Linked DNA regions of Schizosaccharomyces pombe. The protein of the gene in region 2 interacts with the protein of the main gene of each other region in a pairwise test. Each region holds a gene or a part of one and is shown on either strand. Other genes may lie near its edges.

Region 1 (6,258 bases), 610 kb from region 2:
GTTAGTCAGATCCTCTTATTTACACATGTTCTACTTAAAATTTATACTTATAATATCACCGCGTCCGCAGCATATGTCTGTGATCTAAGTACAAAAGCATGAGCTTCATTTTACGATGCGCTAAAAAAGTTTCATTTAATAATATTACTCTCTGAGATTCCATTACTTTGCAACTATTAAACTTTTGCTGCTCTAGGTATAGCGTTAATAGTTGCTTTAGTTGCTACAACTCAACCACTTCTACTACTTGTCAAAATACACAATTATGTTCGTTGGCTTGCGTGAAGCAATTATTATTTTATATCATTTTGACCTTTAGTTATATGTTATTTCTAAAAAACTGTGTTCTTCGTACCAAAAACTTTTTACATTTTTACGCCCCTTTCGTGTACTCTTCAGCTTGATAGTTCTGTAATAGACGTAATAGCACTCGAAAATTTCAAAATCGATATCTGCCACTAAAATTATTTTTGTATACTTATTTATTTATTTTTTTGAAATTATCTTTATACCACTTGTATTTTAACCCTCAACAGTCGCTACGTTTTTCTTAAAATTAAAGATTCGAAACTTTCTTATTCAAATATACTAAACGCTTTGTTGGAGTTCATGTCTACAAATTTAGAAGAGAAACAGAGGAGATTTTCTAAGCTTCAAAAGACTTTGGGTGTTGTTTTCCCAGCTGCAATTCTGCTTTCAACTGGCTACACAGTTTGGGTATTTATAGCCCTAATATGCGGTACGTGAATGAAGGGCCAATTCTAACCGCTAAGAAAGAATTTCCATTATATAGTCATATGCTAATTATATTCTATACAGTTGATTCCAATATCAAGATTCGCAATGGCTACCGAAACCTAGGAGGAGGAAGTAAGCTATTACCACAGTTAAATTAAAACATGGACACGACTAACCTTTAAAGTTGTACTTATTATTTTTTTTTTCATAACTTCCGGGTTGGCGTATTTTTCATACTTCAGGGTTTTGTTTTCAAGTCCTTCATTTTGCGGTAATACTTGTATGCTATTCAATAATTGAGTTTGTTTTTATTGTGTTTGGCTAACATCAGTTTATTCTAGTATACACCTATTATGGGTTCGATAATCCAATTTTTTTATGTGGACCTAATGGTGCCCCCCGAATGTGTGGAACTTGCAAATGTTGGCTGCCCGATCGATCCCATCACAGTAGAGTCAGCATGAGATGTATTAGAAAATTTGATCATTATTGTTCTTTGTACGTAAACCGAAAATCCTCTGATCTGCATATCTTTGAATAAAGCACTAATTTTGATCAGCGTTGGCAAAGATGTTTGTTTTTCCAACCAAAAATTCTTTTACCAATTTCTATTTTATGGATTTTCTGCCGCCTGTATGGTTTTGATTAGTACGGCAATCATGATATCGAGAACATATCATTATCGTAGTCTTCCAGGGACTTGGATTTTCGTTCTTGTGTTGTAAGTTTTACCCTATTCACCATAACAGCTAACAATATTATATCAATAGTTCCGCCTTTGGAGTTTTATTTTTGGGTGTAATGTTGGTAAGACACACGGGATATCTTTTATTAAATATAAACAGCCATGAGGCTAAAAACTGGAAGACACGGATCTACTCCTTCAGTGTCTTTTTCCCCGAGCACATGGACTCTAGGGTTTTAGTTCAAAGTGATCCAGGTGATTTACCATGGGATCGAGGCTATTCTGAGAATTGGAGAGCAGTAATGGGAGATCATTGGTATAATTGGATTTTGCCGCTTCGTAGATCACCAGGTGACGGTGAGCATTTTTTGTATAGTCCAAGTTTTGTCAGCAAAATGCAATCAAAAGCTTTATCAATGAATTCTTAATTTTTATGATCTATTAATGTCGTTACTATCTTTGTTTTCTAGATTCTCTAAAAAAAAAGAAACATTCGAGTCAGATAATATTTAAATAATTAATCCTTCCATGCATCAACTCGCCGATATAAAACGCCAAGTGCGTCCTCGTAGGAAAGCGTAATTTCCTTTGTTTTAAAAAATTCATCTATGAAGTCATAATTTTTTTGATTAATCTCGATAATTAGTTTTTTAATAAGCTTATTTTCTCCCGATTCCAGAGATAGTAGCTCAACAGTTGACATTAATCGCTCGAATTTCAGCAAAGGATAGTCTGAAAATTCTAGTACAATCTGCATTGCATCCATTGCAAATTGTACACCTCCTCTCACACTGAACTGGTGGGTCATAACAATTTTTATCATCCAACTTTCAACTAACGTTCCAATCTGATATATAGCTTCGCATTGAGAAGAGCCAATCAAAAGCTTTTGGAGCAGTGCAATGATTTCTTTTAGCCTGGACTGAAATCCTACAATTTCTGCAGAAACCGATGTTGATAATAGAGCAGCACCAGGAAGTTGTTCCTTAATTACCCATGTATCAAGGTCAGAATAGTTGTCAAGTAACGGCCTTAACGTTTGCGAAACTGCACGTAAAATCATGCGAAAAGATCCATTTGTTAAAGTAGATAATCTAGGTTTGACTTGATAAAAAGCCGCATAGTTTTCTGATCCCATTTTATGTCCTATACGAATGTAGACATCCTCATCTTCAATATCATCAAGCCAATCCATGAGTAACTTGAAGTTACTGTAAAGTTTACACATCCGTTCAACTTCAGCAATATCAAACTTGGATTTGTCTGTCTGCAGACTACCAGGTAAATGAATAGATGATGAACTTTCATGAGATTCATAAAAGGCTTCCAACCAATTAACATACTGCATCATAGGCTTTAACTGAACAGATCGCCAAAAATTAAATTGATAATCAAGAGATGGTAAATTTTGAAGCACGGAAAACGTCGTCTCAATCATGTCTCGAAATCGTACAGTCATTTTCGTGGGGACCGCTGAGCTGAAATCATCAGACTGATCGCTTTCCAGCTCCCAAGCATCTGATGCAATTTTTATATCTTCCAACTTTGTGAGGCTCAATTGAGTCTCTAAACCCAACCATTTATCATAAGTTCCGTTTTGCTCAAAAAGAAAAATAATTAAAGGGTCTTGGGTATAATGAAAATGTTGCTCCAACCGCACAGAGTATTGTAGGGTTTCGTGAACTAAATGAACTAAATAATCATCATACTTTATTATATGCGTTAATTTTTCCTTTGCAACGTTGTTTAGCAAATTGATAAATGTAAAAAATGGAGGGACGCCGGGAAAAAATTTTATATCACGCATAAGCATGTAGAAACTACGATTAGAGCGAAAAACTTTTAGTAAGAACTCAAAAAACCATTCTGGTTTTGACAATACATTTGTTTGCTTCTGAGACATAAAGTGGTAACGAAACTGGTTTACATAGGGGGTAATGTACACCTGCATAAATAATGGAAGACCTGTTTCAGAATCTTTAAACGATTGAATGGATCGGACAAAACCAAAAAAACTTTCAAATTTTGATGATTCCTTCAAGTTAGGGTTAATAGCAGGCCAATTAAATAATGTCTTAAGTTTTTCGGTGAGCTCGTTCTTCCATTTTTCTTTCACTTCTCTTTCCTTTTTCTGAAAAAGTAATTCGGCTATGTAATGTAAACAATCAGGTGCAATTTCTGTCTCATCTTTCTTCGTTGACAATGTCGAAAAATCGGTAGAAAAGTCTAAGAAATTTGCAACAGTATCGAGAGAAGCCGATTTTTTGACAAAGGATTGATATACGCATAATAACTCAACTGTGTCTCGGAAAATAGGCGTCGGGTCGGCAGGTATTGCTGAATCTAACCATGCGTCTTCAAGCCCTTCACTAGACCTTCGAAATGCGGCATCTTCGCGAGCCTGCCTCTTTTCTTCTTCGCTTAAAATAGGAAGTGAGTTAGGATCCGGAAGCTGAAGCTCATTGACTTCTTGTTGAAATTTCTCTACTTCATCTGACTTATAAGGATGCCGTGTTCTTGAATCAATAAAATCAATTAACTGTTGGGACATCATCAAAAAGTCCTAGGTGACCCTTCAATGAAGTTTCAGCTGCTATTTGGTTCTTTGTTTACTTCTCTGAACAGTTTTGGAATAGTCAATGTGTTGGCACGACTTTATTTACGGTGCTCGCTAATGTTGCTAATATCATATAGTTTGAAGTTTTAAACAATAAGACTATTGCAATATAAAGTGAGTAGTTTTTATTAAACAAAAATTAATATTCAATAAATTGTTGGCTTATACTTCCAAACTTGTGATTCTGAGTGGGTTATATTTGACAAAGATATGCTGATGGTTACACTTCGTCGCTTTTACGAAAAGAAGTGAATTATACGATATAAATAGCAAAAAAGTGTCTCAATTATTCAGGTCTATATTACTTTTATTAAGGACATTAAGATTTGTTGGTATCGACTGCGCATATTTCGAGACAGAGTATTTAGATGTTTAATGTCCTAGCGTGTGCCAAATAAGGAAGAGTTTTTATCCATTAAAAACAGTATAAGTATTTTCACTTAGAAGAAGTTCACTAAAGCAAATAGATATAAAGAAACAAAGATAAAATAACAAACATCATTGAACAGCACTTCGAATACATTAAAATTGTATTGTACTCTCGTACTTCCAATAAAAGGGGTATAAGTTAGTATATAAAATAAAATTCAAGGTAAATCTTCACTAAGAGATACTCAACTCATCAAATGTGGACAGAGGCATAGGCATTAAAGCTATGACAATCAATAAAAATTTTTGAGAGTAGCAGCGACAACTATTAAAACGAATTCCTTAAAATCTCTTGCATTTCTTTTGCCAACGTATTTGCTATTGAAGTGTTAGTAGAACGAATTGATAGACGAATCAAATTTTGTTCGTAATTTGGTTCAATACGAAGTAAACATCCAACATTCTGTGTACCAAATCGAATAATTCCTGCTCCTACAATATTAAGGGCAATAGAATCAACATTTTGGCATATTCCCCAGTGAAATCCACTAACTATTTTTGTCAGTCGTTTTGCGTCAAGCTTTCTATCTTTGCTGTTGAGTCCGAAAGTTAACTGTGCTTCCCTTTCCACTCCCATTTGACCCCAATGGTTAAAGAAATCATAGCTGTCAAATATTGTCGGTTTCATAAATTTTGATAACAAAACCGGTAATTGGAGGTCTATCGAACGTATAACACCAGTAACATAAGACACATGAATAATCGGAGGTTCGAATATCTCATTAACTCCACTCATAACATATTTTTGCTGAAGTTGAACTCCTGATGGCAAATTTGTATCTTGAAAAGTTGTTGCTAAATGGAAGGTAGAAAAGGTTCTAATTAACGTTGAAGAGAGTGACTTCAACGTATTTGACTGTCGATTTTCATAATACAAATATATGGCGCCTTCTGAATTGTGATATTCTGAACGAACACCAATTTGTATTTGAGAATCTTGGTACAAAATTCCCTTATCTTTCCAACATAAACGATAAAACCCAGGAAGACATGCTGATATGTCATATTCTGGAACATCAATGGGCGTGGATGGTTTGGAAACATTGGGAATGGTTTGAGGATAGGTATCAACCAAATTTACCTTGCTGCTAGGACGTGACTTTGGATGCACTCCATCTCGATTTCCGTCTAAAAATGGGGGAACTTCATCACAAACCAATTGGAGAAAGTCCCTTGGCATTTTTAAAAGTTGAAGATATTCACATGCTCTTTGTTGTACTTCTGGATTTATAATAGTAGAATATTCCTGAAAAACCTTCGCAATTCTATCGTTCAATTCAGGCTGCAAATTTGCCAGTTTGATTAAAGTGGTTAAAAGCAGAACCCTCGTACTGGGAGAAGAAACATTCAGCTTACGATAAATTGTAGAAAACTGATGAACAGGTTGGCTGTCCGGGTAATCGGTAATTAAATGCCCAAATTCACCAAGAACATAACCTCCAGCTTTGACTAAGCATTCATGAATCGTTTCAGACTGTAGTAAGCTGAATAGCCGTTTGGTAGCATATTCCTGGATTTCTTCGTTGTTCACAATGACATGAACTAGCTGATGCCAGACGCCATCATCAGCGGATTTTCCAGCTATCCGAAGCAGTTGTATAGTAACATCGACATACCATTCATAGTCGGTAGCAAAGGTCTCTGAAATTATGGCAACCTTAGAAATAAGATCCTCCTGAGTTACTGAGTCAAGATGTGGTAAATACTGCAATAAATCGGCAACGATGAGTTTAGCATTTTCCTCGTCACACATCATATACAAGAGTTCTAAACTTTTTTTTCTAAGGGA
Region 2 (6,646 bases):
CCGAAACATAATATTATCATTGTGGTATGATTTTGATAAATCCCGTAATTTTTAATAGCTACAAATAACTTATCTTACTAACGGCAATTGCTAGAAGCAAAACCCTGCTTAATTACTCTTTCATCAGTTGAATGGTAAGCGAATAAGATGAAACTAGTTTGCTATTTTCCAAATTCGTTATTTGCTATGTAAGAGTAAATAAAGTATCCATTCGCAAAAACCTTATTTACATAAACTAATTTATAGTTCACAAAACTAATTCATCATAATGTACCGTAACCGTACGAAAAGTTAACGAAGTAGCTTTTCTGACACGTTGTGTATATATTGCACAGCATTACACCTGTTCAACAAGTGCCGACGGTAAATGGGAAACTTCTAAATCCGTTATCCATCTGGTGGTCGGTCTCCTCCACAATACGCAACTAGTCATTAAGAAGCTTATAAGTGTTAAACCGATTAAGCTAAAAATTAACATGTTTAAACATTTTTCGATTATATTGGAAACAATGGGGGTTATGCAAAAACTCGTAATTTTATTATTATCTTACATCTTCACAATAACTAGTTGTCTGTCATATGCATTTCAAGCAAAGAATCCTAATGGTAAATATTAAAATGAATTCTGGATTCTTTGTAATTAAGAAAGATTGGACCGTATATAAACAATAACATTGTCCATCAGTAGTAATATGCTCAAAACCCAATTGTTACATCGTGTATTTTTCAAAAGACCGGCAATAATATATTTCATACACTCGTCGGAAACTAGGAAAATAGGGGTGTGTGGATAGGTAGGTAAAAATAAATAGGTACTTGCATAGATAATCAATCATGTACAAGCTTCTCAAATATACATTATATGCACATGATCAAAATCTCCATGAAGAAGAGGGACGAGGGAAAAACTTCGGTTTTCCCATTTCTCTTAAAACCCAAAAAAAAGTAGTAAAATAAAAAACTAAAAACAATAACATTTTAATAATCTAAATGCCATAACTGGATAAATTCAGTAAAGTGTTGTGACGACTCAAGTCGATGCACTGCTGCTCCATCTCCTCGCTTGAATTCAGCTGCAGCGGCTTACTTAACAGTACATCACTAGAAGGCGATTGATACCAATCGCATATTTTAATGACCCGACCAAGATCCGATTCAGGATCTACATGCGCAGTACTGGGTTGAAGATTCTGCACAACTGGAATCGACGCTTCTCCGATATCTCCAGGTACTGGTCCGCCATTCACCATTGTCATTAATGATGGTGCTTTTTCGTTTGGCAAGTTTCCAGCGGCTAATGATCCAGTTCCTGGTGAGCGAGGAGGCAGCGATACATTGGTATTGTAGGCTAATTCGGTCAAAGAGCTCTTAGTAGTGGGTGCAGGTTTCGAGTAGGCAAGAGGCACTGGTTGAACGGGTAGGGCTGGAGAAGATTGAGTAAGAATACTTCCGGTAGTTGTTACTCCTACATTACCGCGTTGCTGAACTCCAGTATTTGTAGTATTTGTTTTCGATACGGTAGCAATCACAGGCGGTACACTGGGAGTAACTAATGCGCCTTGATGGAAAGCAATAGCATCTAAAGCCTTAGCGTACATTCCAAGTGCTGGCCAATACACGCTAAGTTGTGCTAAGTGACGCTTCGCTATCGGTAAATGTACGGCCGCCTTGGACGCCTGAACTTCACTACCACGAGTTATATAGTGATACAATAAAACCGTTCCCGCCAAATATGCTGATGATGCTGTAAACGGAGCAGCTAATGAAATGGAAAGCTCAGTACAGTCTTGGATGATTCGACAAATAGCATTAGCACATTGACTAGCAAGAACGGCCGATTGATTCTCAAATACAGTAGGGGGTGACTTGACATGAGAAAACGGAACCGACGATATGGATGCTGCATATCGATGAACATACAGATGTATTTGTAAAAAAATTAAATGTAGACACGCAAATTGGCCACCTTGTCCCATCATATGGTAAGATAGCAAAGTCTGTCTAGAATACCGAAGTCTATTGGGCAAATTCTTCTCCCATTCATATAATTCTTGATCAAGCTGTTTAAAGGTACTTTTGGCATGCCAAAAAGGATAAGGGTTAGATTGTTTTTGACTATACGACTTTAAACACCGTACTACCCGACCCCAAATAGATACCATACGTATCATGTACGCTAACATCCCCATATTATCTTGGGCATTTCGACTAACTATCGGGGCTGTAGTTGGGTTTGCATTAGTAAAACTGTCAGGACTGCTGGGTTTTCCAGTTAAAGTCTCAGTGACAGCATGGGCTTTGTACATAAAAAGAGTCTCACGCATAGGAAGTGGAACGTGTATGTCTTCGAGATTCAAAAATTGGGTATTACAGTATAAAGAATTTAAGCGATCCAACATAAAGCAATCCCAAAACAATCGTCTGGTAAGTTGAACACGGATTTCAAAGGGGAGAGGTGAATCAGGTCTGTCGTAATATGGTAAATTTGGAGTCTTGTTTGGATGAAGGGCAACAACCATTCGAATGGCCATACCCGCAAACATCCAGTATTTACTTGTCGCAGCACACACGTATGAAAGCATTACAAAAGAAGCCACATATACAAGGTCTAACTTATCAAAGTTTGCCATTGCAATTGCCGATGCTCTGTTAAACCATTGTTCAAACAACTCATTTTTGTCATATTTATCTGTCTGCCAAAACCGAATGGCCACTGCACACATAGCCAAAACCAACACAGGTGGAAGGCGCTGAGACTTCAGAGCCTCCATAAAAGAATCCCGATGGAATAGTACATATGGTTGGCCATGCGCGTAGATAAAATAAATATGAGCAAGCTGTAACTGAATATCCAGGCTAGGCAGATTTTCAGAACCTTCCGTCCAAAGAGGACCATCAGGAAGTCTAAAAGAAGCATTGTAAGCAGGATTTATCGAATGATCAACTGATGCAGCTTTAGGTTCGGGGGGAGAAAGAGGACCAGAAACATGGGAAGGACGTAAGGGATGTACAGCAGCCATATCGTTGAGAGGTTCGTGAGATTGTATTTTTGAAGCCGGAGGTGAGAAGCTGAAATCAGCATGGGGAGAGGAAATGTAATCATTTTGATGAGTAGCTGATGAAGACTGAGAGTCTGGAGAGACGGAAAGGGTAAAAGTAGGAGAATGAATGGTGTGTGGATGATGAAAAGGTATATCAACAGTAGGAGGAGTAGAAGGAAGATGAGAGGAATCGGTATCTGGGCTAGTCGACCAGGTATATCTCCCGTGCGGTATGGAAACAGGTTCTTTCTGGGCTCTTTCAGGGGATAACTATGGCAATTAGTAAGAAATCGACCAATAAAGAATGGGTAACAAAGAAACTTACATCATTTTCGTTTTCAGTAAAACGAATTTTCTTTTGATTCAGCTGAGTATTCGAAGCTAAGCGTTTGCGCAAAAAAGGATCCTATCCAAATAGGTCAGTATGAATAAAAACAAAAAAAGGCATATAAATCATCAATAAAAGAAAGAAAAGTAAATCGGTGGATTTTGTATTTCTCCCCATATGCCGACATTAGCAGTTCGAGTCGGTATTGACTTACCTCTGGACTATCTGATAATCTAACGCCGTGGACAGCAGTGGAATTTTCTAACATAGTGCGGTAACCAAAGTATAGAAAATTAAGAAATTACAAAAACAAAGGAGCAAAGGATAAAAAAACAAACAAGTAAGAATGAAAACTCCAAAACCTGACGATGCAAACACTTTTGAAGTCGTTTAATGAAACTCGGGAATTGATGTAAAAACAAACTTAGAATTCCGAGACTATCCAATAATGAACAAAAAGAAATGAATAGATGATACAAACGAGAGTGAAGAAAAGAAAACAAGAGTTAGCTCACGTTAGTATGAATAAATAGAAGGAGGGAAAAAATTATTACAAGAAGATAATAATAACAAGATTAGAAGAATTATATTATCAAAAGAAAAGAAGGGAAGATAGATCAACAGAGAACAGAGAGTAGCAAGAGAAAGACTGGAAGAAAATCGGGAAATGAAAATAGGAAAACAAAAGAGATCCAAACGGATAACTAAAAGAACCCCAAAAACAAGGAGAAAGTGGAAGAGTATGAATAAATTAGATCAATCACTTTGCGACAAGAACGAGTCGTACAAAATGACGAATGAAACGAAAAAAAGAGTAGCAAATTGGGGAGGGATTGGAGATAAAGTCTTTGTGAACTTTGGCTGCTACCACTTTACCGGTGTGAATATTTTTTTCTTGGAAACTTTTTGTAGTTGCAATATAATTCAAAAGTTTACCAAAATAAAAGCAATTTAATTCAATTTTTTTTGACAAAAGTATCTTTGAACTGCGTAAACGAGGTGCTCCGAAAGAGTCTGCGCTCAAGGTAAGGACGGATGCAAAGGATAAAGAAAAATAAATCAATCGCCAATTCGAGCAGATTGATATCGCGGAGTACAAAAGAATCCTTCAACCGAATTAGGTTAATGAAGAAATTGATTCTTGTCGAGAAAGCCCTTGGTAAAGAAAATCTCCGTAAATCCTCCAAATATCGAGCAAATTCACGCGCGTTTCAATCAATCAACTTATGACTGAACTGAAGGAAATTTTCAGAGAGAAATTCTCTTTAGTTCCTCTTCTTAAATGCTTAGTTTACTCTTATAATCAAGTGGGAAAAGTATAGGAAAACGGCAAGTCAAGCTACACGGCCACGCTATACACAACAGAGTTTGATATGATGTTTCCCTCTTCCGGCTAATGAATAAACTACCTGGGAAATGTGTTCCGGGGTAATTTGGTCTACGGTAATCAATTTCGGTAAAAGTCGGTTGACGACCGAGCCACGTTAAACAAACCAGCGATGTGTACACAAGTTTGGGAAATGAGGTTTGCGAGGATCACCGAGATGGAACGAAGTCAACAAAAAGGAGAGAAGGAAAGCGAGGAAAAGAGTGAAGAAGAGAGACAAGAAGGATGTATTCGTCTTTCTGGAGAACTGAGAGTTCAATAATTGTTTTCGCCGTTTATGCTTTTATCCTTTTGTCGATTTTTTGTTTAATGCTAATGGAAAGGAAAGGAGAATGATCGGTAATGAACGGATGGATGGATGGAACAATTTTATGACGAGAAAATGCTTGTTCTGGCAGCTATACTGCTTCAAAAAAAAAAAGCCCCAGACAGATGTATGAAGAAAAGCAGTAGTAGAAAGGAGAAGGTACGTTACAACACTGCTGGTTATAAAAGAACTGGGGAGCGGAAATAAGAATGTCAAGGCCGAACTTAGACGGTGAGTGGGACCAGCAAGACGGAAGGTTGTAAACGAACTAGTGAAAAGAAAGGGATTCAACAAAACAGCCGAGTACTTTATTTGTAGAGGGAACAAGATATAGAAGAACCGAAAATGTGATGTTAACAAACAATATAAACAAAGGAAGAATATAGGTTTGATAAAATAAAAAGAAAAAAAAACGGAAGAGCGAAGAACCAGATCTCAGAGCAGAAATTGAGGGGGAAAACAAAGCAAAAAAAAAAAAAAAAAAAAAAAAAAAAAGCATTCGCTAGACAGAATCTCTTTGCAGAATATGGTTTTCTGTTCTTTTTATATGTTAAGAGTCAAATCTCAACAACTTAACAATTTTGTATTAATCTGTAAACAATTTGATTCTTCCCTACTCAGTTTTCAAGTACACAGTTGTATGCAGCTTTCACTAGCCATATATCCTTGTCCCCTACAGTTCCATTGCCAACGAAAAAATTTAATCGAGCCCTCGTAACGATGGTATTTGAACTGTGTCGCATTTCAACTGCACCCAAGTGTCGGTCTTTTGTTCTTTGCTATACTACTTGCTGGCCTTTTCCGCCTGCAAAATGTGTAATCGGCTTTGTTTACATTGTGCAAAAACCAACCTTTCGCATTTTAAAAACTCCATCATCTTCAGCGGCTTCTACCTACTTTCCCCCCCCAACTTGCTACTCGTTTTCGGATTTTAGTGGGCGTTTTGATCAATGAAAATTTTGCGTCGCAATTTTTTCCTTCCTCCCCAGCTTACCAAGCGATCTATGGCAAGTCTCTTTTCCATTTTTGTATATCGCAACGCAGCATATGTAGTGTGCGCTTCTTTAAAGGTTTATTACGGATCCGAACCAATCCGTTACGGCAGTTGACAAGGTACGGAATTTAAAATGAGTAGTTCGAGCCATGCAACATTTAAATTCCGCATCCTCAACTGCCGTACATGACGCCTCCTATGCAATGCCGTAACCAAGTACCGAGGTGGAAACGCTGAAAACTGCTGAAGCTCGTTAATAGAATAGTGCAATGCGGTGAAGGATGTAAAAAGAAGCAGCGGAGGAAAGGTGCCAAGCAAGAGAGAGTAGTGAACAAGAAAAGAATGGAGGCGCAAAGATTGGGATGCTATGACACTAGAAGGTATCATTCTTGTTTGTACGGCAAGGTTGTTCTACGGAAAGATCTTGTTCAGTGGGGAAAGTGAGAAAGAAAGTGTAGACTTTATCTAGCTTTCATATTTTTGCGACTCCTCATCCAAGTCTTGTACGCACTAAAATTTTTCTTTTAAACAACTTGTGATACTGTCATTTTATTAGTTTCTTTTACTAGTATATGTCTAAATTTCTTTA

Evidence for each region.
Region 1: the proteins of SPOM_SPBC530.11C (region 2) and drp1 interact in a two-hybrid assay, tested with the Schizosaccharomyces pombe proteins (one large-scale study listed by BioGRID).

The regions. Positions count from the first base shown.
Region 1 is NC_003423.3:1,419,933-1,426,190, forward strand, and holds drp1 (RINT1 family protein), read right to left. Parts: upstream 4,053-6,258; 5' UTR 3,978-4,052; coding exon 1,941-3,977; 3' UTR 1,852-1,940; coding exon of another isoform or gene 1,509-1,851; 3' UTR 1,460-1,508; coding exon of another isoform or gene 1,298-1,459; 3' UTR 1,237-1,297; coding exon of another isoform or gene 1,080-1,236; 3' UTR 1,019-1,079; coding exon of another isoform or gene 923-1,018; 3' UTR 871-922; coding exon of another isoform or gene 820-870; 3' UTR 740-819; coding exon of another isoform or gene 610-739; 3' UTR 593-609; downstream 1-592. Other genes in the region: palmitoyltransferase Pfa5, read left to right, coding at 610-739, 820-870, 923-1,018, 1,080-1,236, 1,298-1,459, 1,509-1,851; apl3 (AP-2 adaptor complex subunit Alp3), read right to left, coding at 4,738-6,258.
Region 2 is NC_003423.3:813,833-820,478, forward strand, and holds SPOM_SPBC530.11C (transcription factor), read right to left. Parts: upstream 4,698-6,646; 5' UTR 3,638-4,697; coding exon 3,584-3,637; exon of another isoform or gene 3,448-3,583; coding exon 3,367-3,447; exon of another isoform or gene 3,312-3,366; coding exon 987-3,311; 3' UTR 546-986; downstream 1-545.